Tamandua tetradactyla: one gene and its partners. The protein of the gene in region 2 interacts with the protein of the main gene of each other region in a pairwise test. Links are inferred from orthologs where the notes say so. Each region holds a gene or a part of one and is shown on either strand. Other genes may lie near its edges. The genes, in order: VTN, GOPC, CERCAM and RNF183.

What was found.
Region 1: the proteins of GOPC (region 2) and VTN interact in binary tests that used the Homo sapiens proteins (3 or more experiments, as listed by UniProt). The two-hybrid records come from large-scale screens. The link is inferred for Tamandua tetradactyla from reciprocal best matches to the Homo sapiens genes GOPC and VTN.
Region 3: the proteins of GOPC (region 2) and CERCAM interact in a two-hybrid assay, tested with the Homo sapiens proteins (2 studies listed by BioGRID and IntAct). The two-hybrid records come from large-scale screens. The link is inferred for Tamandua tetradactyla from reciprocal best matches to the Homo sapiens genes GOPC and CERCAM.
Region 4: the proteins of GOPC (region 2) and RNF183 interact in binary tests that used the Homo sapiens proteins (3 or more experiments, as listed by UniProt). The two-hybrid records come from large-scale screens. The link is inferred for Tamandua tetradactyla from reciprocal best matches to the Homo sapiens genes GOPC and RNF183.

What each region holds. Positions count from the first base shown.
Region 1 is NC_135332.1:51,636,135-51,643,111, reverse strand, and holds VTN (vitronectin), read left to right. Parts: upstream 1-3,964; 5' UTR 3,965-4,043; coding exon 4,044-4,107; intron 4,108-4,212; coding exon 4,213-4,332; intron 4,333-4,416; coding exon 4,417-4,755; intron 4,756-4,838; coding exon 4,839-4,978; intron 4,979-5,226; coding exon 5,227-5,383; intron 5,384-5,565; coding exon 5,566-5,718; intron 5,719-6,191; coding exon 6,192-6,533; intron 6,534-6,767; coding exon 6,768-6,880; 3' UTR 6,881-6,970; downstream 6,971-6,977. Other genes in the region: NAD(+) hydrolase SARM1, read right to left, coding at 1,887-2,356. UniProt on the Homo sapiens protein: Vitronectin is a cell adhesion and spreading factor found in serum and tissues. Vitronectin interact with glycosaminoglycans and proteoglycans. Is recognized by certain members of the integrin family and serves as a cell-to-substrate adhesion molecule.
Region 2 is NC_135331.1:178,461,165-178,468,935, reverse strand, and holds the start of GOPC (Golgi-associated PDZ and coiled-coil motif-containing protein), read left to right. Parts: upstream 1-4,755; 5' UTR 4,756-4,771; coding exon 4,772-5,287; intron 5,288-7,771.
Region 3 is NC_135328.1:51,214,445-51,221,738, forward strand, and holds the start of CERCAM (inactive glycosyltransferase 25 family member 3), read left to right. Parts: upstream 1-4,279; 5' UTR 4,280-4,320; coding exon 4,321-4,517; intron 4,518-5,675; exon of another isoform or gene 5,676-5,855; intron 5,856-5,949; coding exon 5,950-6,060; intron 6,061-6,218; coding exon 6,219-6,336; intron 6,337-6,897; coding exon 6,898-7,032; intron 7,033-7,195; coding exon 7,196-7,294. UniProt on the Homo sapiens protein: Probable cell adhesion protein involved in leukocyte transmigration across the blood-brain barrier. Does not express any beta-galactosyltransferase activity in vitro.
Region 4 is NC_135328.1:33,859,649-33,867,327, forward strand, and holds the start of RNF183 (E3 ubiquitin-protein ligase RNF183), read left to right. Parts: upstream 1-4,671; 5' UTR 4,672-6,500; intron 6,501-7,210; 5' UTR 7,211-7,237; coding exon 7,238-7,679. UniProt on the Homo sapiens protein: Acts as an E3 ubiquitin ligase catalyzing the covalent attachment of ubiquitin moieties onto substrate proteins. Triggers apoptosis in response to prolonged ER stress by mediating the polyubiquitination and subsequent proteasomal degradation of BCL2L1.

The DNA of each region.
Region 1 (6,977 bases), on a different chromosome or scaffold from region 2:
ACCAAAGTCTGAAATCTGTTCTTTTCTGTAACTACTTCTTACAATGTACTTTGAAATTTAGTGCTTTTTTTTGTAAATATGTTATATTTCACAATAAAATAACGTTTAAAAAAGGGGGACAGAGAGCAATGATGGAAAGATCTTCTTTAAGAGGTGGCAGAGACAGTGGTTGTGGAGTAGGGAAAAGGTTTCATAAACATAAATTCTCAGCGTTTTGCTCCCTTCTCTCCCTTCTGGCTCCCCTGCCCTGTCAGATGCAGACTCTGCCTTTCTTTGAAAGGATTTCAATCAGCGCCCAATGAACTATGCTCTGTCCTTGGTCCTGAAGTGACTCCTCTTAGTAATACTGAACCAGGTGAGAACTGTTATTTCCTACTTTGAAAATATCAGTGCTGTTTGCATTTTGCAGCCTTCCTCTTCCTAGGGTGCTAACCTCCCCAATTTTCCAGCCTATTGTAGCTGCCCCACCCCACATAACAAATCTATTAGACATGCCCTCCAGCCTGGACCCCACCACGCTCAGTGAACACTCATTCCATTTGCTAACCCTCCAAATTCATGTTCCATCTCCATCAGGCACCTGATGTTAGTTGGGAGGTTAATTATTTGCTGAATAATTTGCAGAATCCTAACTTGGCCTCCCAACCAAAATTGCTTTATGTATTTTTTTAAAAAATATTACATGTTTTATTATTCTGTCTCCAGAAGGATAATAAACAAAAGGGGGGGGGAATAAAAGGAGTAAAATCGTCAACTATCAGGCAATGAGGCCAGCAACACCCTCCATCTCAGAAGGGTCTCAGAGACCCATGCCCAACAGAAACCAACAAAGAGAAAACTCAGTAAGGGGGAGGGGAAGGAAAGAAAAAAAGCTATGTCTTCATTACTGCAGCAAGAGAGATGACAACAATACCATTCAAATATTTTTCACAGTTGTATCATTTCCACCAATTATAAGGATATTTTTCTTTTTGGAAAGTTGCAAGGAATGTTCCCCTACCCCAAACTCATCTCACTTGTGGGAGCTGCATAAACTGAAAGTGAGCCTTCCAAAATCCTCTGTTCTAAGGGAGCAGAATTTGGTGTGAGACTGAAGTGTGAGAGTCTTCCCTGGCAGAGGGGAGGGAAAGTGAGTCCTCAGGGGTCCTCCTACTTCAGGGGAGATCCCAAGAGGCAGGCACTTAGGGTATTTTGGCACTAAGGGGTGGGAGGAGAACACATACTCTGGCCCCTGCCTAGCTCTGGGCTTCAGATTCTTCTCCCCCAACCTATTCAACTCAGCAGAAAATCTTCTGTTCCCCATCAGCCGCTGCAGAATGAGGTCATGTCTGGACCAGAATGAAGAAAGAGGAAGCAAGAGGTAGATTGTGAGCGGGTAAGTAACCCTTAAGTTAGCACTCATTTCAGCCTAGGGAGAGGACAGAGGGGAGAGTCCTCCCCCGCCCCCCCAAATTGTTTTCCCTTCCCCTCCTGTGTGTGGGGCAGAGGGGAGAGTGATGGGCAAAGGGAGAGAAGTTACCACAGAAGGGCACCCAGGCCCATGGTGAGGAGGGCCAGGTATTTAGGGGGGCATTGGCAATAGGATCCCATCCTGATTCAAAGGACCAATTCCACTCCTCCTTTCCCTGGCCACATTCTCCACCTCTTTAGTCTTGGGTGTGAATCCTGGCTGCACCATTAGCTCACTGAGCGATGCTGGGTAAATCACTAAACTTTTTCCAGCCTCAGTTTCCTCATTTGTAAAATGGACACGCTAATCCTAACGTGCAAGGCTGAAGTAAGGTGAGTCAGGCTGGGTACAGTGCGGAGCATAGGGAAATCCAGCCGTCCAACCGCCCTCACAGCCCCACACAACGTGGGGCTCTACCCGAGCCTGGCACCCTTACCGGTTCTCGGCCACCAGGATCTGCTCCAGCAAGCGCGCGGCCTGCACGCGCGTCTCGAGTTCCGACGCCTGCAGCAGCCTCAGCAGCAGGTCGAGGCCCCCGTCCAGGCGGATGGCGTCGCACAGACCCTGGGCCACCTCGCGGCCTACGGCCGGCAGGAGCCAGGCCTCCTCCACTAACTGGAAAACCTCAGCCAGGCCAGCACCTATGGCCCGCGCGCCGCTGGCCTGCTTCAGCGCCGACAGCGCCTGCTGCAGCTCCGGCAGCGCGCGCTCCAGGGCGCCCTGCACTTCGGCGCCCACCCCGGGTGACACCTCGCGGGGCCCTCGGGAGCCGGCGGCCCACCATGGGCCCGCGCCGCCACCCCCTTCCGGCCCCGGCACAGCCAGCCGCTCGGCACCGGGCCGTGGACCAGACATGGTGAAAAAGCGGCACAGCTTGTAAGCCGAGAGGAGAAGCGTCAGGACCATGGACGCCGGGCTGCGAGGGTCATCCCCGGCCTGGAGGGGAGGGGCCCGGCGGGGCTACCCAGGACCTGAGGGCAAGGGGGAAGAAAATACAGGAGAAAGGGGTGGAGAGAAGAGTACAAGGCAAGGGCGCTGGTCAGAAATTTTGGGGGGGGGGGGTGAGGTCAAGATCGAGGGCGGAGAGGGTGGGGAAGGGGATGCAGGCCCGGATGCAGGGGGCGGGCGCGAGGAAAGAGCAGAGTGGCCACAGAGGGACCCAGACGCCAGAGGATCGAGGAGGCTGTGGCCGGCAGGAACAAAGCACCGCTCCGGCTCTGGCTCCCCTCGCCGGAGAGACGCTCCGCAGCAGCCGGGTAGCCGAGAAGCCGCGGATCAGGAATCGACACCTCGCCTGTCTGTCTCGCTGGGCTCCTCCCTCGCCGCCCGTTTGGCACCGCCCCTTCTCTCCAGCCACGCCCACACCCTGGCCAGGCCTCCTCCCCCTAGCCGCGTCCCGGGCTCTCCTTGTGGATGCGGGTGGGGAGTGGGAGGAGAGGGTGGACAGGGAGAGGATTGCTTCCGTTTTACCGTCTGATGGCGCTGGAACGCGGGGCAACGCCACGGAATGCGTCTCCTTCCCACCTAGTGGCTAAAGCAATCATAACGACTCTGTACAGCTCTCCATGCCCTTTTATGCCTATTTCTCAATTAAGACTCACACATCCCTATAGAGTTTAGAATTCCCATTGTACAAGCTGAAGTGACTGAGGCGCCTAGAGAAGAGATTACCCAACGTCACACTGGTCACTGATTACAGAACAGAAAAAGTCAATTGGAAGCTCCAGGGATCACTCCCCTCCAGGTGGCAGGGGGACTTCAGTGGCCTACCCAGGATTGGGGAATTACTGGAAGTCTCAGGAATCAAATCCTGTCCAAAGGGTTAATATTCTACCAGTTTCCTGTGTTGTGAAAACTTGCTTGGGGAAATCAATGTATCCAAGAGAGAAACCCAGAAATGAAACATTGTTCTATCATGATAAAAATGTACAAAATTCCCCAGAGTGTTTACCATCTGTCCTCCCACTCCCCCTTCACCGCCCTAAATACACAAAGTAATCATTTATGTGAACCACCCAGCCAGGGTTGCATTTGATCAAACAAATCATGGATCAATAAGCATTTATGGAGAATGAATTTGGGGCTACTCCAGGCACTGGGCATTTTGCCTGCTCTAGCTCACGTCATCTCCCAACGCACCATGAGACATATTATTAATCCCATTTTACTGGAAAGAAAATTAAGGCTCAAAGGGGTAAAGCAATTTGCCTAAGGTCACCCAGGCAGTAAGGAGCAGAGTGTGCTGGCTATCTGCTCCTCAAGCCCCACTGTGCTGCCCCCCTCCTGAGATGTCCCTGAGTTTGGCAAGGATCTCATTTCCCAGGTTTTCCAGGACCAGGGTTCTGGGAATGTGACCCTTTGCAGCTGCAGCCTCCGGGGTCCGGGTACTGGGGGCTGGGCTGGAGGTTGAGCAAACAGAACAGCAGGAAGGGCAGCTCCGTTTCACTAGTCCCCTCCCTCTGTCCCTCCCTCCCAGTTTCCTCCCCTCCCTCCCAGTTTCCTCCCCTCTCTCTCTTTCTTAAGCCTCAGAGCTCACACCTCAGGGAAGGAGCTCAGAGCCCAGCTAGCCAGGTCCTCAGCTAGAGGTCCTGCCATGGCGCCCCCAGGACCCCTTCTGATGCTGGTCCTGCTGGCTCCGGTTGTTCTGGCCGACCAAGGTGCAGGGGGTATGGTGGTGGCACTGCTGGCCACCTGAAACAAGATGGGGTGGGCCGGGGGGGGGTCCAGGCTTAGTCATACTGGTTGGCATCCTCTCCCCACAGAGTCCTGCAAGGGCCGCTGCACTGAGGGCTTCAACGCTGAGAGGAAATGTCAGTGCGACGATCTCTGCTCGTACTACCAGAGCTGCTGTACCGACTACGACACTGAGTGCAAGCCTCAAGGTGTGTTTAGAACCATGGCGGGTGGGCCTGGGGTTCCCTCTGCAGCTGGAGGCTCATGACCCTCCACCCCCACCCCACCTGCAGTAACCCGTGGAGATGTATTCACTCTGCCTGAGGACGAGTACGGCAATTATGACTACACTGGAGAGACCAAAAACGCCAGCATCCAGGCACAGTCAGTGAACGCTTCTGGGAGCTCCTCCACAAGCCCTGATCTGCAGGCCCAGCCTGAAGGGAATTCTGAGCAGAGTCCCATTCAGAACCCAGAGGGAATGTCCCCTCAGCCTACACAGTGGGGGCCCCCAGTATCCACAGCCTCTCTTCAGGGGCTCTCTGGGCCCCTGGCAGATGACGAGCTGTGCAGTGGGAAGCCCTTTGATGCCTTCACCGACATCAAGAATGGTTCCATCTTTGCTTTCCGAGGTGACTATGGGGATGGGTCTCGCGGGTGGGGGTCTGTCCCAGGAGCATCCCCTCCCTCACACAGCCCCCCACCCCCACCCCAGGGCGGTACTTCTATGAGCTGGATGAAAATGGAGTGAGGCCTGGGGACCCCAAGCTCATTCAAGACGTCTGGGGCATAGAGGGCCCCATTGATGCCGCCTTCACCCGCATCAACTGTCAGGGGAAGACCTACCTCTTCCAGGTGCCAGTAATGGGGCTGTGGGCCAGGGTAGAGGGCTTCCAGGGAGGGGCTGAGAGTTGTTGTGACCAGGGTGAGATCTAGGGCCCTGTGGGTGCCTGGTTGGGGCTCCATGCGGACAGGGCAGTCAAGGGTCCAGGTCCTGGAAAACAAACCTGGAATTGGGCACAGCTGCCTCTGGGGCGGGGCAGGGAGATGGTGTCTGCCCGGCTGCTGCTTCCTCAACCCTCTTCCCCTTCCCCATCGTTTAGGGTAGTCAGTACTGGCGCTTTAACGATGGTGTCCTGGACCCCAACTATCCTCGCAACATCTCTGAAGGCTTCAAGGGCATCCCAGACAACGTGGATGCAGCCTTTGCCCTCCCTGCCCACAGCTACCATGGCCGGGAGCAGGTCTACTTCTTCAAGGGTACTTGGGGGCTGGGTGGGACAATGGCCAAGGAGGGGAGCTGCCTCGGTTTCCCTCTGCACTTTACCAGGGACAGGCCTCAGGCTGTGCCCACCCCCAAGGTTGGGAGTTTCTAACAGCGTCTGGGCTCTCCAGCCTGGCTTATGCTCACCCCTGCTGATGCCAGCTGCCCTGCTCCCCAGGGAAACAGTACTGGGAGTACCAGTTCCACGAGCAGCCCAGCCAGGTGGACTGTGAAGACAGCTCCCCATCGGTCGTGTTTGAGCACTTTGTCCTGCTGCAGCGGGACAGCTGGGAGAATATCTTCGAGCTTCTCTTCTGGAGCAGATCTTCTGGTACAGAGAGAGAACCAGTCATGCCTCCCCCTCCAGAGGGCTGGGGGCCCCTGGATGGGGGGAGGGCTGGCTGGCCCACGGGGGTTGTGATTGTGGAACTTTCGATCAAGAGCTGTTTGCTCAGCCCAGACTTTGCTTTTGTTGACCTTTTGGGGATGGCTTGGCTCAGCCTGGACCCCACACCTTGGACTTTGCCTAGCAAGGCACAGACAGCAGTGGGAGGGGCCTGTGGAGAGAGGATTGGGGAGGCCTCAGGGGGTGGGGTAGAGACACCCAGGGGTAATGCTGAGGGAGCACAGGGGAAAGAGCATTGAACAGGGAGTCAGAGATCCTGGGGCTGGGCTCTGCCACTGTCTTGCTGTGTGTCCTTGGGCAAGGCACATCTCTGGACACCACATGGCCTTTAAAGGCCCTGCTGGAGGGGGCAGAGCCCAGGTCCCCAGGGCCCCGTACTAGCCCCTTTCCTGCCACAGGTGGTACCAGACCGCCTCACCTCATCAGCCAAGACTGGCCCGGTGTGCCGAAACAGGTGGACGCAGCCATGGCTGGCCGCATGTACATCTCGGGCCTGCCCACCCTCTCCTCCTGGGCCCAGAAGCACAAGACTAGGCGCCGCAGCCGCAAGCGCTACCGTTCCCACCGGGGCCGCAGCCGCAGCCGCAGCCAGACCCCCAGCAGGCCATCCCGCTCCCTCTGGCTGTCCTGGTTCTCCAATGAGGAGAGCGGGCTGGGAGACAGTACTGACACCCCTGGGATGGACTGGCTTGTGCCTGCCTCCTGCGAACCCATCCAGAGCGTCTATTTCTTCTCAGAAGGTGGGATCCCCTACCACCCCTGCGGTGGGCTAGCCTGGGTCTTCCCTGCTGCCCTGGTCTCCATAGACTGAACACAGTTCACGGGCAATGGCCCCAGAAAGCCAGGCCAGAGGCCCTCACGGGCATCATGGATGTTTAACTCCCCTTCCAGGAGAGACCTGGGGCTTCTTTCTTGGGGCAGGACTGGGCAGGACCAGGTTGGGTCCCGCTCACCCTTCCTGCCCTCTCTTCCAGACAAGTACTACCGAGTGAACCTCCGCACACGGCAAGTGGACACTGTGGACCCTCCCTACCCACGCTCCATCGCCCAGTACTGGCTCAAGTGCCCAACCCCTGGTCTCAAGTAGGAGCTGGAGCCCACACAGCTGGGCCCTCCATAGCGCCCTCTTCCAACCCTCTCCCCCACCCCAATAAAGGTTCCTTGGTCGTGAGTTTAAGACTATT
Region 2 (7,771 bases):
CCTCTTTATTATGTACTGTCCATCACAGGAGTACAGAAACATTATTTATCAGGAATCCCTTAAAAACAGGAGAAAATAAAATCAAGGGGATAATACAGGGAAAAATCAAGGAAATAATATGGGTAAAAGATAGTACATTTCATTTTCATCATTTTATAACTAATAACAAAGAACATATAACATTATTTGATAATTGCAACAGATACATATATATTTCATGTCTTTTTAGTCGGTTATATCAGGAAGAGAGCCAATGGGAGAAAAGAGGGCAGAGATAAACAGGGGGACACAGAAAGAACTGCAGAGACACACAGAGGCCCAGAAAAGGAAAAATGGAGACTGTGCTGGTTTGAAAGGATTCTGTGCCCTAGAAAAGCCATTTTTTAATCCTGATCATTTTGAGGAGGCAGCTGTTTCTTTCAATCCCTATTCAGCACTGTAGACTGGAAATTTGATGAGATTATCTCCATGGACATGTGACGCGCCCAATTGTGGGTATTAGCCTTTGATTAGAGGGAGATGTGACTCCATTTATTCCAGGTGGGTTTTCAATAGTTTACTGGAATCCTTTAAAAGAGGAAACATTTTGGAGAGAGCCATGAGAACCACAGAGCCCAGGCAGCCAGAGAACTTTGGAGATGAAGAAGTAATATAGCCCTGGGGGAGCTTCATGAAACAAGAAACCTGGAGAGAAAGTTAGCAGATGTCACCATGTGCCCTTCCAGGTGAGAGAGAAACCCTAACGTCACCTGCCTTCTTGAAACAAGGTATCTTTCCCTGATGTCCTAATTTGGACATTTTATAGACTTGCTTAATTGGGACATCTTCATGGCCTTAGAACTGTAAACTTGCAACTTAATAAATTCCCCTTTTAAAAGCCACTCCGTTTCTGGTATATTGCATTCTGGCAGCTAGCAAACTAGAACAGAGACCTTAAAAGATACTCCCACAAAGGAGAGAGGCTCAGACTTGGGATGTTTAGACACGTAAAGACCACATAAAATTGGTTATGTAATATATGTATTTACGATTCTTTCACTTGCTATTTGCCAGGTCCTCGGTAGGGTGGTGCTTTGTATTCCTTAAATCATTTAATCCTCACATCAACCCTGTAAGAGACATACCATTACATTCCTTGTTTTATAGATAAGGAAACAGATGCTAGAAGTTAGGCAATATCCTTAAATTCACACTCCCAGGAAGTGGCTATGTTAGCTATATAACCAGCCTGATGTGGACTTGGCTGCTTACCTGCAACTATAACTTCTCCGAGGACTAGTTGCCCCATTTGTAAAATGTAAATAATGCTACATTTCCCAAAGTGTTGTTAAGGAGATAATGAATGTAAATTGCCTCATAAAAATTTTCCTATATGATAGGCCATCATTGAATATTAATTCTTGACTCTTGGATTAATTTTCCTTTCTCCTGGTTACTGGAAATTAAATGAAATGTGTGAAGCTTAGTACAGGGTCTGGACACATTAGAGTTCAATAAATGGCAGTTTCCCTCCGTCTCCACTCCTGGGTGGATCTTATATGTTTCTTTATTCATTCCTGTGCCTTTGCATTTCATGGTACTCTATAAATGTTTGAACCACAGCTAATGACCTGTATCTACCAAATGAATTTTTAACATTTTCTTTCTTCCCCCAGTTTCCTTAGTTCCCACCCTGTTTATTCCTAGTAATACTTTGTGGCAAAACTCTGGAGTTATAAGTTCCTTAAAACAAGTCTGTACATTTAAGTTATATTAGAATTTCATAATTTCAAAAAAATCACATAAGCATTATACATGAGACAGTTCGTGGAGGTTTCTGCCAATCTAATTAGTAGTATGATGACTTCATTATATTTGGAAAATAAATCCCACAAGTATTGAGCTTATATACGATTCCAGAGTAGGTCAAGATAAGGCAATGATGCAGCTAGAGCACACTGACAACAGATGGCAGCACTTGAACGTTAAAACCTACTTTTTCACGTTATAGTTTGGCTGCAATATGCAGAATTATAAAATCCCAATGTGGGCAGATAACAAGTTTACATAAAGGGCAGATAACAAGTAGTCACATACTACCAAGACGGCAAACACGTAGACGTGGTAATGAGAAAGGACAATAAGGAATGAAAATATCCTGAGGGACAGGGGTGTGACTTATTGGAACTTTAAACATTGTAAATGAAATAGGACCAGGTTCTGAAATCCTGAAAAAGGGGTAATCACCAACAATTAGGGCACTGGACACATGTACACTTTTGATGCTGTCTGGCCATACTCACATAGTACAGCAAAAAGTTGAATGATTTATTCTTAAAAGAAATGAAATGTATTTTGTGTAGGTCCATAAGTAATGTTGGCAGTATTTTTGTAATTTCTTCTTAGATGTTAATAGATTTGTAATTGGCTTATAATTGGGAAGAGATTATTTTCCTTTTGGACTGATTTGTCATTTTGTTATTCTGGGGACAAAGAAATGGATTTTCTTAATCCCCCTATTCCCCACAGTTGATGGCAAAGGCTCTGGAGAAAAAGGCACCTAGACTGAGATCTCAGTTCAATTACTGTTTGTCTTAGACTCACTGTAACTCAGCTAGAAAAGTGACAAAATGATCAAACATGTAAACAAATAGTACAAATGCCTACCACATAATGAGAACTCAATAACTGATAGCTACTATCATTAGTATTGTGACTCCATGTATATGCCCTTTGTCCATTTTGAAATTATTTACTTCAAATTCCTGAAAATCCATTGCTAACTACATTATCTGTAGAGAAGTTGGCCAGGACATGTTGTAGTGATGTCTTTGTGAGTACTGCAGATGAAAATACTGAAATAATGGAAAATAATTTTGGGAGTAAGATGCAAATTTTAGTTTTATATTATTCATTGCCTATGAAAACCTGTATGAAGTTGTGCATTTAAGCTCAGGGCAAGGATTTCCAGGTTAGTTCTGCTTAGCTAAGTTTGCTAGAGCCACAGGACTCTCTTCCCCCAGTTTCCTCAGTTCCCACTTTGTTTATTCCTAGTAATACTTTGTGGCAAAACTCTGTAGTTATAAGTTCCTTAAAACAAGTCTGCACATTTAAGTTATATTAGAATTTCACAATTTCAAAAAAATCACATAAGCATGATTCATGAGACAGTTCATGGAGGTTTCTGCCAATCTAATTAGTAGTATGACGACTTCATTATATCTGGAAAATAAATCCCACAAGTATTGAGCTTATATACAATTCCAGAGTAGGTCAAGATAAGGCAATGATGTAGCTAGATACTTATCAGCCTGGCCTGTAGTATACCCAGAGAGCAAACTACAGCTGTGATTTTTTTTTGCTCCGTCTTGGTTTTGGTGCGAGTCACACAGTGTGGGTTTTGCATGATGATTGATTGGAACTATCTGTCCCGTCAACAGATCAGGGACAAGTCTGTAGTTAGCCAGAAAAATATTCTCCTACATAATGCAGTAGAGACAGTTCCTACAAGTCTGTTCAAATCAGACTGGTTTCTCTTTCTCTGTCCAGGGCAGGGCGACTCTTGAAATGAAAGGGGATGAGAAAGCAGTTGCTAAACAGTTGCAAAAGTACTGCAAAAATCATATTAAAGTTGTAACTGTGAAGATTAGTAGCCTCACAAGTCTATGACCTCTGCTCGAGTGAGGGTCATATGTGTTCCCAATGCCTCCACAGGGTTTGGCATTCAATATATTTATGAATATATGAATATTCCTTAAGAACAAGAAGTAACACTAAATATAGTACTCTAATGCCTTTGATTGCTTTGTTCCCATTCAATTTAATATATGACAGTAAAAGTACTGCGATTGATTTTCATATATATATATTTTATATATATAACACAAATCACACATTTTGTAACCCAAAATATGGTTTCAAAAAGAAATCACCAGGTTGAGTTAAAACGGTAAGTGGAAAAAAGCCATTCCTTATGGTCATGCACGTCAATTGCTTCGTTTTACTGAAATGCTCTGTGCAAGAATATTACCAGTTTTTTAAATGATAAAACGTGATTCCTTCAACAACGTACACTTTTTAAAATAGTTGCTTTAGAAATGTGTGACCTGTGGTGTAAAAATAAAAGCTAACGCCATGCGTCAAGCACTGGTGCTAAGCGTTTTACCTTACTACTGAGTGAAATAAATTTTGGAAACAGAGACTTTGAGGTTAAAAAATACAACCACGGTGGTGCAACTAGGATGTGGCAGGGTGTAACATTTGAACTCAGGCCTGCCTGTCTCTTACACAGGAGATACAAAGGTCTCTTTATTCAGCAACACCTACTCAGCCACTCTCCGCCAACCCGGCATTAGGCAGTGCCCACACAGTATTTAGGGCCTATTTAACCAAAACGCGCCAATGTGTCCGTCCACCCCACCCACCAAACCTAAGCAGGAACTGGAGAGGAAAAGGGGAAACGTGGCCATTGCGCATGCTCACACCGCCATTCCTCGCTCTCCTTTTCCCGCCCCCGGACGCCACTTTCCCGGACGATTTTAGAACGGCTTTTGTCCACTGTGAAATCAAACCGGTGGGGCCGTTCCTTCCTACGACGTGGATACGCTTCTCTTCCTCGGGCCTTTCCAGCTTGGAAGCACACACCGCGCGCCTACTACTCGCGGACCCAAGCTGGAGTTTGCCAGTCCTCAAGATGGCCGCTGACAGGCCGGGCAGAGGCCTTTCATAGGCCAACGTCGCCTCCTAGCCCCGCCCACCTCGTCCTTCCCGGCCGCCGGGCTCTTGGCTACGCATGCGCAGCGGCGGCGGGCAGGGAGGTGGGACGGGTCGTGTCTTCCGTGTGCCACGGTCGCCGCCTCAGCCTCCTAGGTCTTGCCCCTCGGCGGCTGCATTGCCGGCTTTGGCCCCGCGAGGGGAAGGAGTGACCCCACAGAGCGTGCGTGCGCGGGGGTCTCCGCAGTCCCAGCAGTTCTCCTCGCGCAGGAGTCAGCAGCAGGCGGGGGAGGCCCTCGACGGCGCCATGTCGACGGGCGGCCCGTGCCCGGCGGGTGCCGGTGGGGGCCCGGGGGGCGCCTCCTGCGCCGTGGGGGTCTCCCCCGGCGGGGTATCCATGTTCCGATGGCTCGAGGTGTTGGAGAAGGAGTTCGACAAGGCCTTCGTCGATGTGGATCTGCTCCTGGGCGAGATCGATCCGGACCAGGCGGACATCACTTATGAGGGGCGACAGAAGATGACCAGCCTGAGCTCTTGCTTTGCGCAGCTCTGCCACAAAGCCCAGACTGTGTCCCAAATCAACCACAAGCTGGAGGTGAGCTGCGGGCGCTGGCGGGGGCGGCCTTCACCCCAGGCTGCCCCGGTGGCGTCAGATCTCATTTAGACGCACCAGTGAAAGGACCCCAGAAAACTGCCCACTGGGACAACTGGGCTTCGATGTGTCGGTGTGTGGAGGAAAGGAGGGCGGTAAGGTAGGGGAAAATGAGGGGTGTAAACCTACGTGTCGGTCACCTATCTTATCTTGTACCTTAATGAGCAGGAAACGGGAACTAATTACACCAGCCACCCTTGTACGTTTTATATTAACAACCTAAGACTTAAGCCCAAAGACTGTTAGAACAGCTTTTGACATTTGAGGTTTGCTTCTCTATTTTCCCATTGATGAGCCCAGGTTTATATATCCACCACCCAAATAGAGCCCTAATTACTTTTATTTTAACTATTCCAGATCAGCATCAATGGTCGCACACGGACATACTAGTTCCTGCATGCATGGACTATTTAGGGAGAATTTGATCAAAGCTCTTAGGAAAGTTTAGTGGCATAAATACGATGGTATCATTGCCTTTCTCGGTTTACATCCACAGTTGGTCCTTAAATTGCAGGCAGATATCTCCTGAGCTCCCAGCGGTCATTCAGATGACTTCTAACAGTGAGGTTTATACGTTTGAATTTTACTGTATTTCCCAAAGTCTGCATTTGTTTTTGAGAGTGAGTGAACAATGATCATTCGGTGAACTCTCTAAACTAGAGAGTGAATATGGGTGGAACGGTGGTGGTTACAAAAAAAAAAAGCCTACCAGATGCAGAAAATTTTCAGGCATTATTACAATAATTAGAAATCATGACAGGTTGACTTTATATAAAGAGCATTTTCTAATTAAGCAATTTAAATGAGAGAATTGGTCTTTCATTTTTAATTACATAATAATGGGATAATCAGTGATGTGCAAAACTTTTTAAACATTAGCTTTCCAAGAAATCATCATTGCTATCAGTTGTAATAGTTGAGAGTGCCCATTAGATCCAAAGCAATATGAATATCATATATACATCTTCTCTTTGCTTAGTGGTCAGCATTCTCTTTCTCTCAGTCATTTTTAAAACTGGCATAATTAACCTTTGCTTAGTGTTGATTTGCATATTCATGATTTTCTGGCTCTTTGCTGAATGACTGTTAATTTCTTGCATCCTTTTTTGGGAAGATTGGAATGCATGTGAAAGTAATCACTTCTTATTCTAGGTAAATGAAATGTCTTGATTTTTTGATTAGTAGTGATTTCTAGAAGATAGTTTTTCAAGTAGTGAAATTCTGTTTGAGGGTTTTTAGAACTAGTACTTCAGCCTTAAATAACATAGCAAGAGTAGCTTTTGCTGTATTAGAACTTTTCATATTATTTTTACAAGGATCTACTGAAGATAAACAGCTTATAAAAAAATTAAACAATGTCTAATTTTTAAAAACGATTTAAGGAAACTTTTAACAGTGATATTTTGATGCCAGATTTAAAGTTAATTTTGGAGAAGGGCTCATTCTGTCAGTAGGAGGTGGTGCTTAATTTTTTTTATCTTTAAACATTTTAAATGAGTATTCAAAGCTGTAATACGTTAATGCATGCTCTTTTTTTCTTTCAGAATTTATAATTGCATATGCTGACTCCTTGTCCTGGCTAAGTGGGTAGTATTATTTCTCAAAAAAAAGAAATGTTAGCATATCACAGATGAGCCTGTTTTTTCAACGTGCTTGAAACCCTTGGGGTATAGGTCTTAGAAAATAGGAAGAGAAGAGATTTAACTTGATTTGTTCTTTTTTTTTGGTTTATTTTCTGGTTACAGTTGACTTACCTGTCTGTTGTGTTGATCTTTCCAAATTTAGCAATTTTCCCCTTTCATAGTACAATCCAGGTATTTCTGAGGAGAGAGTTTCATGGTCACAGTGCCTTTCAAAGTAGATCTGCTGCTGTAACCATCTGCAGAATTTCAGGGGTTGCTGCATATAGTGTTATCAATCTTCTGAGGTCTTGATACTTAGAAAAGATTCCCATAGCTTCTTGCCCTATTTTATTTCTAGTAGACAATTGAATTTAGTTCTGTTGATTTAAGTATGAGGACATTAAGACAGTATTTGAGGCCACTTATGGTTTGATAAAATAAATGTGTGCCAGAGTTCAGTAATTTTATAAATTAATTCCTTAAACCATATTACTGCAATATAATATTTTTATATAATCAAAACACAGATACAGTCAGTGTGGGTGATTTATAATATATTTAAATTGGTCTTGAGTATCCTTCCAGATTGCCCCTTCTACTGCCCTGTCATTGTGTCTCTGTAAAAACTGAGCTTAATATAAATATTTAAACAGTTTTACTGCCAAAAAAAAAAGTTACGATTCAAAGTTATATAAAAATGACATCCTTGCCTCTGCTTCTTGCCGTAAGTTATGCTTGGGGAAAAGGGTAGGAGAAGGCAGAGAATTTAGGATATTTTGAGGTGGTGCCATTTCTGATTACTCAC
Region 3 (7,294 bases), on a different chromosome or scaffold from region 2:
CACACTTTGAGAATTACTGCTTTAGCATTTCTGTGGATTTGGCCCAGTATTACTTTTGTAGCATATGTTCATTTTTTGATAGAAAAAAATGAGTGTAAGCAGGAGTGCAGAAGCTTGATTGGCCCACCTTAATGGTTCCATCATATTTATATCGATGTCTGGCTGGTCAATATTTATATTGACTCTGTATTTGGCTTGTACTGCCCAGGGGCTAGGCATATAGAGGCAGACAGGTCCCTGCCTTGGAACCCAGAGTCTCGCTAGGGAGACAGAGACTCAACCAGACAGGGATATAATGTCATCTCTCCATCTTGAAGTCTAAAATGCAACTTAAAATAATGTCCAAAACAGAACCCAATTTTCATATTCCACCTTGTCCCCATTCAGTTAATAACACCACCATCCAACCCAGTTGCAAAACCTAGGAGCCATCTTTGATTCCTCTCTCCATGTCTTATAACTAGTCTCACAAGGCCTATCGGCTCTGCTTTCAGTATATATCTCAACTCTGTCCACATCGTCTCTCCCTGTATTTGGGTCTCCGACTGCCACCCTTGCACCCTTGGTCCACCGTCTGCACTACAGCCAGAGCAATCTTTTTAAGTCAGATCATATCATGCCTCTGCCTACTCCCTCCAATGTCCTAGTGTACTTAAAAAGAAAATTCAAAATTCTGCCATGACTTCAAGGCCCTGTGTGTCTGACCCTGCCAACCCATTGAACCTCACCTCTTACCATACTTCCCTTGCTCAGTTATCTCCAGCAACACTAGCTTCCTTGCTTGTTCCCACCTCAGGAGCTTTACCCCACCCATCTCCTCCATCTGGAACACTCTTCCCCCAGATCTTCCCTCAGCTGGTTCCTACTTATGCTCCCAATGATCTTCTCTGACCCCTCTGTCTGAATGTCGTCTCCCACTCCCAGTTACTCTCTGTTCTTAGTAACTTGTTTTAATTTGTCATAGCATTTACTTTTCTTTGAAATGATCTTGTTCTTTTATGTGTTTGCTTGTTTCCTATCCATCTCCTCTCACTAGAATGTAAGCACCCTAGGAGCAGAGACACTGTCTTCTGTCCCTCCATACATAGCAAGTGTTTAACACATATTTGTCAAATGAATGGGATCCTATAGGATACTATGTAGGGATATGTTCCCAAGACTTGACATTAGGGAAGACTTTCCAGAGGAAGTTTAAGCTGAGACTGAAAGGCCTAGGGGAGTTGGCCAGAGTTGGCCAGAAGTGAAAAACAATCCAGGCAGAAGGATCAGAAAGAAAAAAAAAAAGATGCACAAAGGTTCCAAAACATGAAGGACAAGCATGGAGCATTGTGGCAGAGTAAATAGGCCAGTTTAGTTGGAGGAGAAGGTTGCGGGGAGGAAAAGAGTGGAGAGTTGGAGAAGCACAGGCAGGCCACGCAGGGCCTCCCTGCCCTGTGAGGGGTTTGAGCTCTATGCTGAGGGCAATGGGCAGCTCCCAGAGAGGATTAAGTCAGGCATTAATAGAAAAGACTTCTGAGTGCAACATGGTTTCCAGGAAGAAGGCCTAGGAGGCAAGTGGCAGCAGGAAAGGAAAGAGGTGGCCATGTATTGGAGGTGTGGAGGAGGAGGCCTTGTTGGGATGCACTGATGGAGTGGATATATGGGGTAAGAAAAAGGAACTTGTCATCAGTGACACATAAGTCCCCAGCTTGAGGGCAGAGGTACCATTTCCTAGGTTTGGGGAAAAGATGAGAGCTCTGTCTTGGACAAGTGGTATTGGGGTCCAGGTGTGCAATTGAGATACAGTAAGGTTTCCAGAAAGGGATATTTCCAGAAAGATCAGGTTTCCAGAAAGAGGGAGTGACCCACACAGTCAGCTGCTGCAGAGAAGCCAAGATCTTCTGGATGAGGAAGAAGAAATATCCATTGGGGGAGTGTCAGGGTGGATGCTGGTCTTGGCAGGAGCAGTTTGGCTGGAACAGCCTTGGTGTTTGTTAAGCAGTGAATGGAGGTAAGGAAGTGAGACAGAGCAAAGCACAGATCTCCCGCTTCAAGAAGTTTGCCTTTGATGGGAAAGAGAGAGATAGGAGTGCATTTGGGGTTTGGGAAGATTTAAGTCCTTTGGAAGGCAGAAGGATCAGAAGAGAGGGAGGTTGACTATACAAGAGGGGTAAGGGGATTGTATTTTAAGTCCAGGGATGGTTTCATCATGAGGAAGAAGTATCTTTTCCATTGTCACAGTTAGTAAGAGCAGAGGCTGGTTTTGGGGCAGAAGGTAGAAGGTGTGAAAGCTGGAAATGATAGTCCCCAGGTGAGGACTTACATATTTCCCAAGAAGTAGCAGGACAACCCTTGCTACCAAAGGGTGGGGAGGAAGTGGAGTGGAGTGTCAGAAGACTGGTAGCATTTGAAATGCCATTGAGGACAGGGGATAGGGAACAGAGAATATAGAACATAGGAAAACAGAACTGTTGGGCTTGGTGAGAATCCAGTTGAGGGTGGAGGTCATGAGTTGCAGTAGCCCCAATCAGCCCCAAGGCAAAATGGTTACAGGATTGGGTTTTTCCAGGCATCTGTGAGAAAACCCTAGGAAAGGGAGTCAGTGATAGGCTCAACCACTGAGTGGGCTAGGTGGGGGCAGGCAGGGAGATTAAAATGGGAGGAGCTGATGCTTTGGGAGAAGGAAGACTTTGAGGCCAGGGAAGAATCTGGAAGCTTACGTTACTGATAAGATAGGCAGAAGCTCAAAGACACAGGGAACTCTGGCTTGACTTCAGTGGTTGACGTGGGGGACACTGCTTAGCTTTAGAAAGGAAATCCTGGTTCTGGGACTGGGAGTATCTTTGCTATCCCACCAGAGAGGTGACCCATGCAAGAGAGAGGTAACTCTTGAATTTCCCCAGGATGCGTCCATAGGCCTGGGGCCCTTTTCATTGCAGGGCCATTAGCCAGAAAATGCCTCACCTGGAAGCTTTCACTCAGGACCTGGTGAACACTTTGGAGCCCACCCAGAGTCAGGACACTGTGGTTCAATGCCCTACTGTGCTGCACCATCACTAGGTAAGTTCATTGTTTCCTGGGCACCCCTTTTCCCCTCCCAATGGAAATAGTGTGCCCAGGCCTAGCTCCCCTCTTTAACCCTACCCGTAGGAAAGGAGACCTTCCAGGTAGGGTGGGAAGGTGGGTGGTGAGGGGCAGGGAGATGTCCCCCACACCTCCCTGGGCCTCTCTTCTTCTCAAGTCCTTGTGGTCCAATCCCAAGAGCTCTTCCTGTGTGTCAGATTCATGCAGAGAGATACTTCATGTGATTTCTTTCTCTCAAGGAATCCTTGCAAACCCTACCAGGTGGATGGATTAGAGGATTTTACCGATGAGGGTCCTGAGGCTCGGGGAAAGTGACCAGTCTGAGATAGGTAGCAGATTCCAGTCTAGAACCCACTCTGGTGCCTCTAGGGGCCCTCATTTTTCTGCTTTTGTCCAAGACAGGCTGGAGACCCCTTCCCATCTCTGCTCCAGGTAAGGCTGTATCCCTTGGTTAGGAGGGGAGCTGGGTGGCAGTGAGAGGCTCTGTGGTTGTCCCTAGATCTACACTCAGTCTAACAGTGGGCTTTGCTCTCTTAAAGGGCCAGAGGAACAGAGGTGCTGGCAACCGAGGTAAGGACGGTGACGCGTGGGGAAAGCTTGGCTTGGACGCCTTGGATGGCGGGCCCAGGTCAAGGGGCACCCTCTCCCTGCCCCCCCCCCCCCCACTGTCTTTCTCTCTGGTCCACAAGTCGCCTCTCGGATCTGAGAAGTTCCCGTCTGGGCCCGCTAGAGGGCTCCTCCGGGCAGTGGAGAGGCCAGGAGCGGGGGAACCCGGGAAAGGCCGCGTCTGGGTGGGATCTGCCACGCGTGGGTCTGCTGCTAACGTCTGAAAGGCGGATGGTTAGGAAATTCGTGTTCAGAGGGGTCAGACGCTCAGTGAGGCTGGATTCCGGGGTCAGAAGCTCGGGAATTTGAGGAGTCAGGTGTTTTCAGGCGCAAGTGTGGCTCTGATAGTCAATCCAGTCCCCCTCCCTTTCTCCCCCTCCGGGGTCCTTCGGGGAGGGGGCTGCTTCAGGGTCGTGTTTGGGGCGGGTCTCGGAGCCCTGGTCCTCAGGTGCCCAGGGCCGAGGGGAGGAAACTCGAGAATACTTGCATAGGGCTTGAGGAAATGAAAGACCACTCTTGGGGTCTATGTTCCCCTCCGGCCTCTCTGGGCCCCGCCCTGCCCCGGGCCCCGCCCCTCCGGGTCGCCCCGCCCACTCCCCTCCGCAGGGCCGAGAGCCCCGGGGGCCCGCAGCCGCCGCCTAAGCGCCCGCCATGCGCGCTGTTCCTGCGGCCCAGCTGCTGCAGCTGCTGCTCCTGCTGGGGCCGGGGCTCGAGGTTGCTGGCGTCAGGGAGCCGCCGTTGCCTGCCGTAGTTCTTGCCATCCTGGCTCGCAATGCCGAGCATTCACTGCCTCACTACCTGGGCGCGCTGGAGCGGCTGGACTACCCCCGGGCCAGGCTGGCCCTCTGGTGAGAGAGACCCTGGCATTGGCACCCACAGGACGGCTACCCTTCCGGCCTCCCAGATGGCCCCGCCCTAGACCCTCTTTGCCCAGACACCACCAGCCGGCCCCTGCCTTGGCAGGCAGATCCCCCCCCTACAGCCCAAGCCCTGAGACAAGACCCCTTACCCTTGCAGGGACAAACCTATGAAGTCATAAGTCCACCCTGGGGACACCCAACTCTCATTCCAGCTGTTTTCTCCTGCCCTTGGGTTTTCCTTTAGGTGTAAGTTGGGCCCAGGCCCTCTTGCATCAGCTCCAGGAGCCCAAACGCAACCCCCGTGGGACCTGTGGTTGGCTTGACTTGGATTGGAGCAGACCAGAACTGTTGGAGTCCTCTGGGGACCATCATGGCAGGGATCCACAGGACTGGGGCTTCTCAGGAAGCATATGGGGGTGCTGTCAGCCCTGGGCTCTGTGCTGCCCTACAAGGGGCCCTCCCTCCTGCTGAGCTGGTGTTAACTTCTCAGGGTAGTGGGTCTGGGCCCTGTCTGCCAGGGGCAGCGCTGCTGCTAGGGGCTTCCTCTCCCTGGAGTCTGTCCTCCAAGGCGTGTCCATAGGACACTGGATGCAGAGTCTCAACCCCTCCAGTCTCTGGAAGCCAGAACAGGGAGGAGTTCTGGGCTGAAGTTGGAGATAAAGTGAAAGAAATTACAAACTACCCCCTCCCAACACACCAACGTTGGGCTGGGGGGGTGGAGCTGTGGCCTGGGGAGGCTGCCCACAATTACCACAGTTTGGGAGTTAGTTAGTTCCCACCCCTATAAGTTTGACACGTAGTAGTCTTCACTTCTGGGGAATTGGTTTAAAGAGGCAGTATCATATAAAACTGGGGCTCTTGGCTAAGTCACCCTGCTCCCCTGCCTCCATCATGGCAGCCCCTTCCCTGGGAGAGGAGAAGCTATACTCTGTAGCAGTGGAGCTTGGGCCCATCAGCAATTCTTCAGGATGCTCAGAGCGTGGTTTGTTCTTTATTACAACTTGCCGGTGAAAGAAAACAGCAGTTCTTCTGTCCTGACTCAGAGACATAGGCTGACCTGTGGTCACACAGCAAGGGAGGAAGGTAACCAGGGAAAGTTGAGGTGCCTTTCCTCTTTCATAATGCATTCGCCTTCTGTTATTTCAGCCCAGGATGCATGAGAAACTACAGGGGAAGAAACTGAAGCTGAGGGAAGGGATGGGATTTGCCTGAGGTCACAGAACTGTGATTGGGCCCTGGCTGTCCTGCTTCCAGGCCTTCGCTGCAGCACATCTATCCTCATTCTCCACCCCACCCCACTGCTCCCAGGAGAGGCCAACCTCACAGGTGTTGGTGCTCTCAGAGGCAATGCTGCCTCAGGGGCTGGGTTTGGACCCTCTGTGACTGTGCCCCTTCACCCTTCTTCCTCCTTTGTCTCCAGGTGTGCCACGGACCACAATGCCGACAACACCACAGAGATGCTGCAGGAGTGGCTGGCAGCTGTGGGAAATGACTATGCAACTGTGGTCTGGAGACCTGAGGGGGAGCCCAGGTGGTGATCTGAGGGCAGAGGTTCTGGGGAACCTGGGCAAACAGCTGCAATTCCAGAGAGGAAAAGGGCTACAGCCTCCAGCTCAGGACTCTGCCCACTGCCCTGAAGAGAGGGAGAGGCACCCCCTTAATGGGAATTTATTTTTTTATCCCCCTCAGGCTCTTTCCAGATGAAGAGGGTCCCAAGCACTGGACCAAAGAACGGCACCAGTTTCTGATGGAGTTGAAGCAGGAAGCCCTGACCTTTGCCAGGAACTGGGGAGCTGACTATATCCTGGTAAGGAAGCCTGGCCTAGGATTGGGCTTCTCACAGGTGGTAGTATCTGTCTGGACAGAAATGTGGACATGTCTGAACCACTCCTGTAGAGTAGATCCTTCATTTGGCATACTGGGCCAGAGCTCAAAACAGATATTTAGCTTGGATCCCCTAGCCTAAGCTCAGGCTGGGTACTAAGCCTGGATCCCTGAGATAGATCTCATAGTATTTATTGAGCCTAGATTCTTAGGCCAGAGTCCATAGTATAAACTGAGCCTGGATTTCTGGCTAGAGCGCACAGTAGGTCTTTGGATCCACTCACTAAGACAGATCTCAGGTGATGTTCTTAGATCAACAGTTTAGATCCAGTCCCTGGACCAGTGCCAAGTTTGTTGGTTAGACCTCTCCAAACGAACTTACATTGGATCCTGGGAGCCACTCTGGGTCTCTGCCACCCGAAGGGATCCTATTTGGGATCCTATCCAATTCTTTGGGAGGCTGCAGCCTAGACTGAGGCTGTCTGTGGTTAGGCTGTCTGTCTCGGAAGGCTGTGACACCCCTTTCCTCCATCCAACCCCCCAGTTTGCAGACACAGACAACATTCTGACAAACAACCAGACACTGCGGCTTCTGGTGGAGCAGGGGCTGCCTGTGGTGGCCCCAATGCTGGATTCCCAGACCTACTACTCCAACTTTTGGTGCGGGATCACCCCCCAGGTGAGGCTAGGGATGAGGCCTCAGGAGGTTTGTAATCTTGGGAGGAGGGACATGGAGAGCTGAGAGCCTGAAGGTCTCAGGGTCTGTAGGCCAAAGCAGGGGGGCGCTGTGCTGTGGATGGAGGGAGTGGCCATTACATCCCAGAGCAATCTCCCTTCCCTAGGGCTACTACCGCCGCACATCAGAGTACTTCCCCACTAAGAACCGCCAGCGCCGGGGCTGTTTCCGTGTACCCATGGTCCACTCCACCTTCCTGGTATCC
Region 4 (7,679 bases), on a different chromosome or scaffold from region 2:
TAATTTCTTTTTTCCTTTAATTAATAAAAAATAAATAAATAAATAAATATATAAAAATAAAGCGCAGAGGTTAAGCCCTTTGTCCAAGCTCCCACAGCAATTAAGTCTGGTTCCAAAGATTGCACACTTTCTACTCCCACCCTGCTGCCCTCACAGGGTGGTTTTAAAGAATCAAATGGCCTTACGCAAGTGGGGAGAAAGTTGTAAAAGGCACTTATACTATCTAGGTGTATCTCTACTTAAACCTAAACCAGCACTGGGGCCCTTTTGTAAACTGTGAAGTGCTATATAAATGCAAATCCTTCATTTTCTTTTGTCTTGAGGTTGAACATGCTGGGGTGACACTATGGATAATTAGATAATTAATACTTGGCTGACTGACTTGGCCACAGACTGAGGCAGTGACTTTGGTGTGGGGTTCAGGATTTACTGTAGCTGAGGGTGTCCTGGCTTGGGGTCGGGGTCGGGTAGATTTGTGTCAGGAGCCTCCCCTGGAGAGCCTGGACTGTGCCTGGCACCTGAACCGAAAACAACGGGGGGTGCTGGAGTGGACCGCGGCCGGGAGGGCCCGGGTGCTGGAGCGGTTGGGATCACCCCTTCTCTTGAACGGCTCTTTGCGGATGACCCGCTTCTCTCCCCTCCAGAATCTCACCACAGTGCTAAGCATTGGCAGAACCAGCCACTTTATCCCTGGCAAAGAGGAAAACTTGGGCTTCAGGGAGGCCAAGTAACTTCCCCAGAGCTCCCTAATTAGACAGGAGTCCCCCTACTCCTTGCAGTTTCCTCACATCCCTTTGCTCCTCTTGGGGCTGGAAGAACAGGAGGCACAGAGAAAGTATGTCTGCTTTGAGAGGCTGGAAGGGTCTTTAAGTAATACAAGCTCACTGGAGTAAGAGAATTTTCAGATAAGATAGTTTTTTTTTTAATCTTGTGGTCGTACCCCCCAGAGATAACCATTATTGGCATTTTTCCCACTATACACATATTCTTGAAAATTAGATTGGATTGTAATATTATTTTAAAAATATTTATTATCAATTTATTATCGATTAGCAATTTACACAGACATTTCATTAGTTATTAATCCAATTCTGGACAGAACTTTCATCTTAGACCAGTTTGTCATGGCAATAAATAATTGGCCATTTAAGTAAAGCCAGTTTGGTATTTGATTTAATGTACTTTTTTATTTAAGAAACTATGTATACATTCTTGAATTTCAGCTTACCAAAGTAGGATAGCTTCTATTTGATAGCATAAGCTTTTATTTTCCTGACAAATATTCAAACATCTAATTATATTCATGTTCCAAAGCTGTTTACAGCCTTAGCTTCCTCACTGTTTTGTTCATGATGTAAGTAAACAAATTTGATAACACACAGAGATAGTTTTACTATAATGTTAGTATATGATTTAGAGTTCAAGATCAAATACCAGAAGCTGAGAATCCTTTAAATGTGCCTTATGAAAAGGAGTGGCTTATTTTTCAATAGCAAACCAAAAACCAAAAAAAAAAAAAAATCAACAGGACCTTTTGGCTTAGAATTAGAAAATTATTAGTCTATTTAATTAAAAATTAACTGAGTAATAAACAACCTAAGAAACAAAACCAGTTCTGAAACTTAAAGTTAGACATTTCTTTGTTTCTAACTTTAATGTATGTAAGCACACTTACATATCATGGCTGTCAAAATACAATGATTTTCACAGTCATTTTGAAAATGATTAGAAAAGCTCATCGGGCACTGTGTTAGCAAAAATCAATTTACAGGAGTACTATCTCAATTTTTTTCTGTTGACTGAGGAGCTAAGGAAAACCTGGGAACAACTGAGATATTTCCAAATAAAGTGAAATTATTATGAAAATTCTAAATTTCTAAGAAACAACTATCTTCTAGATTGATTTCAGCAAACCAAAAACCAGCTGGCCTGTTTTTTTAAACACAGCCAGTTTCTTTATTGACAATTGTCTATGCCTGTTTTCATACTACAATGGCTGAGTTGAATAGTTTTGACATTTGCTATGGGCCACAAAGCCTAAATTATTTGTTATCTAGGCTTTTATGGAAAAAGTTTGCTGACTTCTGTTCTAGACACTTGCTAGATAAAAATGGCCTTAAGTGCAGAGCTTTTGGAGAACAAAGTTCAATCGTCATCAACCTTGTGTCTGATGCTCCTTTTATCTACAGTATGGACAGATAAGTAAAACATATGGATTAAAATTGAATAAATAATAGGGGGAGCAAATGTTAAAATAAATTTAGTAGATTGAAATGCTAGTGATCAATGAAAGGCGGTGATAAAGGGAATTTAAAAAATAGGGTAAACAAAGGCTAAAATATATTGGGTAGATGGAAATAGTAGCAGTCAGTGAGAGGGAGGGGTAAGGAGTATGGTATGTATGAGTTTTTTTCTTTTTTCTTTTTCTGAATTGATGCGAATGTTCTAAGAAATGATCATGGTGACGAATATACAACTATGTGATGATATTGTGAGTTATTGATTATTTATCAAGAATGGATTGATCATATGGTAAGAATGTTCGTGTTTGTATGTTGCTATGTTTAAAAAAAATTAAAAAATTAAAAAAAGTTCAATGGTCATCTAAAATGGAATGAAATGAGAAAATATGTACAGGAAATACACAAATGTCATTTAGACTATAACTCATAAGATAAAATCAGCAGAGGATCCTCTGTAAAACAAATATTTAATATTTTAAAGAAGTCAGTTTTAGAGAAAAGACATTTAAATAATACATACTTATCTTTGCCATTAAACTGATCATTTTACAAAGCTGACAAAAATATAGAAAGCAGCTCGAAGAAACTAAATGGAAGACATAACATTGGAAATTTTCTTCAGCTTTTCACTTTAATGGCTGAAGATACCACACAGACTTGTGAAATGTCATCAAGTCCATCTGTTCTCTTTAAGAATGTGTTATCAGTCATAGGCCGGAAACACTTCGCAATTCTTGTATTGAAGACAGTAGAGTAAAGGCAAGGCAGAGAGAGGAACTTGGATGAAGCTTTCCAAGCTGTCTTCCTGAAATGCCACACCAGTGGATGGAATTTGTATTGCACATTTCCAGAACAAAATCCATAGTCCTTTCACTGCCTTCTTTGAAGTTGGCTGATCTATAACCTTCCATTTTCCTCTAGATTTGTTTTCCACATTATATCCAATTTTCCAATTACGGTTGCTCTCTTAAGGATGTTTGCCTTTTCTGCAAACTCCTTCTGGCAGTACAAGTACTGGTACGTATTCATTGGCTGCAAATGGGTTTGTGACCCAAACGTAGATGCACATTTTCCAGTCTGGTTGACGGAATTTAGCTCTGCTATGCTGTACATTATATTATTATTAATAATAATTTGTATATTTCATTGTATATTAACAATGAAACCTTCTCCATAAACAGGGGTGAGGTTGTAATGTTCTGAATCTGGGCTTCAAGAAATATTTCATCAATTTCTACAGTGTAAAATTTGGTTTTCACATCCAATGATTTGAGAACCTGAAATTCTAAGAATTTTCTAAAATTCATTTTTTTCCTCCACTCTGAGTTGTAAAACTCCCTGCATACACTGAGCTTCTCTGAAGACTGGTGACCAGAGAGCCTGGGCTCTGTGTCAGATAACAAGGCACAGGGTGATGTCTGCTGGTCCTTCTCTGCCAGATTTTATTGCTTCTGCTTCTCCGTCTGTAGCTTTTTCTCTAAACTACTCTGGGTGTTTCTCTCTTTCAGCTTCTCTTAATTTCATCTCTTAGCGACTGTCTGTAATATGGTTTTATTGTCTATTCTTTTTTTCATTTAAAGACAAATCATAAACATATTTCCATATTGATAGATATTTTATCACATCGCTTTAAAAGCTGCAGAGTATCTCTTTGTATGGATGGAACAGAACTTAATCAATAAACCACTGGATAATTAGGTATTTCTCCATACTTTACCATTTGAACAGTGCTGAGTGGATATCTTTAACCACATCTTTGAAGGGTCTTTGATTATTTTCGTGGGATGGACAGGTTTCCAGTGCGGAAGTTTCTGGGTCAAAGGTTATGGACATGTTAAACATTTTGCTAAATATTGAAGGTATGCTTCAGACATACTCTGGAATTCAAGGACTCCTCAAAGCTTGATGCATAAAACTTTTTCATGGCCTTTCCCTCAAATCCATTTGCAGTAGTAATACCAATTTTTTTCATATATGGTCTTTATAGGTGCTAGGCTCTAAGAGCTTTATCCCCCACCCCACTACATTTAGCTTCCTTTTCAGATGAGGAAATCGAGGCACAGAGAGGTTAAGGATTCAAATGGAGCCCTAATAGGCAGTGTACCTGCTGCCATGAACCTGGACAGTCTAGTTCCAGAGTCTACACTGCCCACTGCCTCTTGGGAGGTATTTTTGACTTCACCTCCAAAGATATCTCTTACCCCCTCCTGTTTTATCTTCTCTGCTGCCACCTGACCGGGGCCAAGCATCCCCAACCCATGCCTGGGTGACTGCTAAGCCCCAAACTGGTCTTTCATTCCCACTCTTGCCCCTTTCAGTCTGTCCTCTGTTCTGCAACTGGAATGCTGTTTTAAAAATGCAAACAGCATCAGGCCCCCCCCCCCCCCCACTTAAAAGTTTTTCTCCACACCCAAATGTGTTCAGAGCTTACAGTTCCTGTGTTCTTCTTGGCTACTCTTGAGCCTCTCTCCCACCCCATCTTCACCCACTGTACCACCTCCCTTACACTGGCTGTTTCTCACTTCCTCAAATTAGCAGAGTTCATTCTCACCTTAATTCACTGGCACATGCTGTTCCCTTGGTCTGGAATGCTTTTCCCTCCACTCTGCTTGGCTGGATTCCTCTCATCCTTTAGTCTCTGCGTCATATCACTTCTTTGAAGAAACTTTCTCCAGTGGTCTCATCGAAGGCAGCCGACACTTTCCAAGCCCTCTTTTCTTCCCCTTTATAGTATTCATCAAAATTACTCAATTATTTATCTGTTCATTCAGAGGAAAGAATGTCTCTTTCCCTCACTAGACAAAATGCCATGAAGTCAAAGGCCATGAACCTTGTGTCCTCCATTATTTAGCTGGCCAGAGCTTAGCACAGTGCTTGGGATGTAGTGAGCCTCCAATAACTGTCTCACAAGTGGGTGAACAGTGCACAGATCAGGCATTGTAAGGACCCTGGCAAACAGCTGTGGGCAGGGCTGTTCCAATCCCCTTGAATATCTTCATCTCCTTCTCTCCTATATGGAGCAGTGACAGAGGTGTTGGAAAGAACTAGAAGAAATGGATGAGGAAGTATAAGCAGATTTTGCTTCAGGTGTTGACTTGGGCAGGGCAATGATGTCACATCAGGGGCACAAGGGAGATTCACTGATGCAGAATCTTCCCTGGCACAGCTCCTGGATTCCTACCCCGAGGGACTTATGCCCTGAGGAATCTCCAGATAAAAGCAAATGCACACTATCTTGCTAACAACACACGTCCAGCAGGCGGACTGAATGGATGTTGCTGAGTTCTGCCTTTATGAGAGCCGCCCAGTGGTGGTGGACTGGGGCTCTGAAGACATTGGTCCCAGTGTCACCATTAACTAGCTGGGTGACCTTGGGTGAGTCACTTCTTGTCTCCCATCTGCAAAGTGAGTGGTGAGTACTGGAGAAGTGGTTTTTAAACTTTTGTTCTTTTTACCCCCAGCAGCTTAACATTTCAAATTATTCAGATGTCCAATATCAGAAACAGATAAAAGCCAGTTGTCTGTGGTTGATATGGGGGAGCTGGGCTGGGGTGCTCCCCCTGCCTGACTACTCCCTTTCACCCCTCAAGATTGGGTGGGATGGCCGCCAACATGGGAACTCTCAGGTCTCAGCGTGTCAGCACCTGCCAGGCTGGCTGGCTGTGTCCTAAGAAGAAAACAGAAGGCAGTAAGGCTTGCCCATTCCGGTTGTGGCTGAATCTGGTATTCAGAGCTTCCAGGCTGTGAGGTAGGTGAATTTCACAGCAATTAAAGTGCAGGGCCGGCAGCCTCTTTGAGTTGGAGAGGGAGGAGGAGTGTCCGGCTATTTTAGAAAAGAAATGAGGGACCCAGGACACAGGGGAATGGGGAAGTCCAGAAGGCTCACTTACCCTCTCTATGGTTTAGTAAAAGGAGCTTACCCCTAACCTTCCCTGCCGGGGATTCCAGGTCTGGAAGGGGCCGCCCACAATCTTGTAGATCCTTGGCTTCCAGGTTCATTGGTTGCCACCCCCCAGGGGAACTCCCTACCTCACCACCCAGGCAGCTCTCTGGCCTTTGCTCCAGTTAGGTGCACTCAAGAGGCTGAGGCCGGGCCACCTGGCAGGCAGCTCCAGGTGCTGCGTGTGCTGCCATAGAGACGGGCCCTGGGGCTTGGCGGCGAGAAGGTAGTCTCCCAAAGCTTTGCGGATCCTGGAGAGGGAGAAACTGGAACCCCTGGCCCTTCAGGGCAGTCTGCCTGCTTGCTCTCGTGCCCAGGTGGGTACCCTGAGGATTTCCCAGGACAAGGGGAGGGAGGCGGCAGGGGAGGCGGAGCACTGCAAAGAGGCTGTGGAGGGGCTGATCTGGAGACCTGGGCAGGACACCCTCCCCACGGCTTCCAGGTCAACGGGGAGATCGTTACCATCAGCCCCCTTGCCAGGCCAGGGCCATGTCCCCACACCTGGACTGGGAGAGTCGGCTCTGCAGGGTTGGCCCTCTAGTCCAAGAGGAGAAGGGAAAGAGGGCCTGGCGTATGTTCCCAGAGGAGAGACAGACAGGGAAATCACAAAGTCCACCTCTGCACGAGTCAGGGACTTGAGATAGCAGGGAAGGAAACGGATGGCCTTTAGCAAAGGCTCTGGCTGTGTCTTGCCCACCCTCTCCGCGGATTCAGAGCAGCCGAGGGCAGAGAACATGCCCAAGGTCACAGGGCTTCTTCAAAGCCTAGGGTGCAATTTTCCCCAGTGAAGGTGATTTAGGTGGGGGTGTGTGTGCAGGCCTTCTTAAGGGGAGGCGGCTGCAGGGAACACCAGACAACTCCGCGGTTTAAGAATGGAGCGATCTGGAAAATAAGCACTTCATAATTTTGAACGGAAATTTTCTTGTCTGTAAATTGTGGGCGATAACACCTTCTAATACCCACAGAATGCTTGGCCTATGGGACAATGCTTAATGGTGTTTCTTTGCTCCTTTTCGCTTTGTGCCAGCGAGGTCCCTTGGTGTTGGGTCTGACGATGGCCGAACAGCATGGCCGGGAGCCTGAGGCGGAGTGCCCTGTCTGCTGGAACCCCTTCAATAACACATTCCACACCCCCAAAGTGCTGGACTGCTGCCACTCCTTCTGCGTGGAATGCCTGGCCCACCTCAGCCTGGTGGCCCCCGCCCGGCGCCGGCTGCTGTGCCCGCTCTGTCGGCAGCCCACCGTGCTGGCCTCGGGGCAGCCTGTCACCGACCTGCCCACGGACACGGCCATGCTAACCTTGCTCCGCCTGGAGCCCCACCACGTCATCCTGGAAGGCCGTCAGCTCTGCCTCAAGGACCAGCCCAAGAGCCGCTACTTCCTGCGCCAGCCCAGGGTCTACACACTGGACCTAGGCCCCGAGCCTGGGAACCAAGCTGGCCCCTTGCCGGACACGGCCGCTGCCTCGGCACCTGTGCCTGTCTCCATCCCCAGCC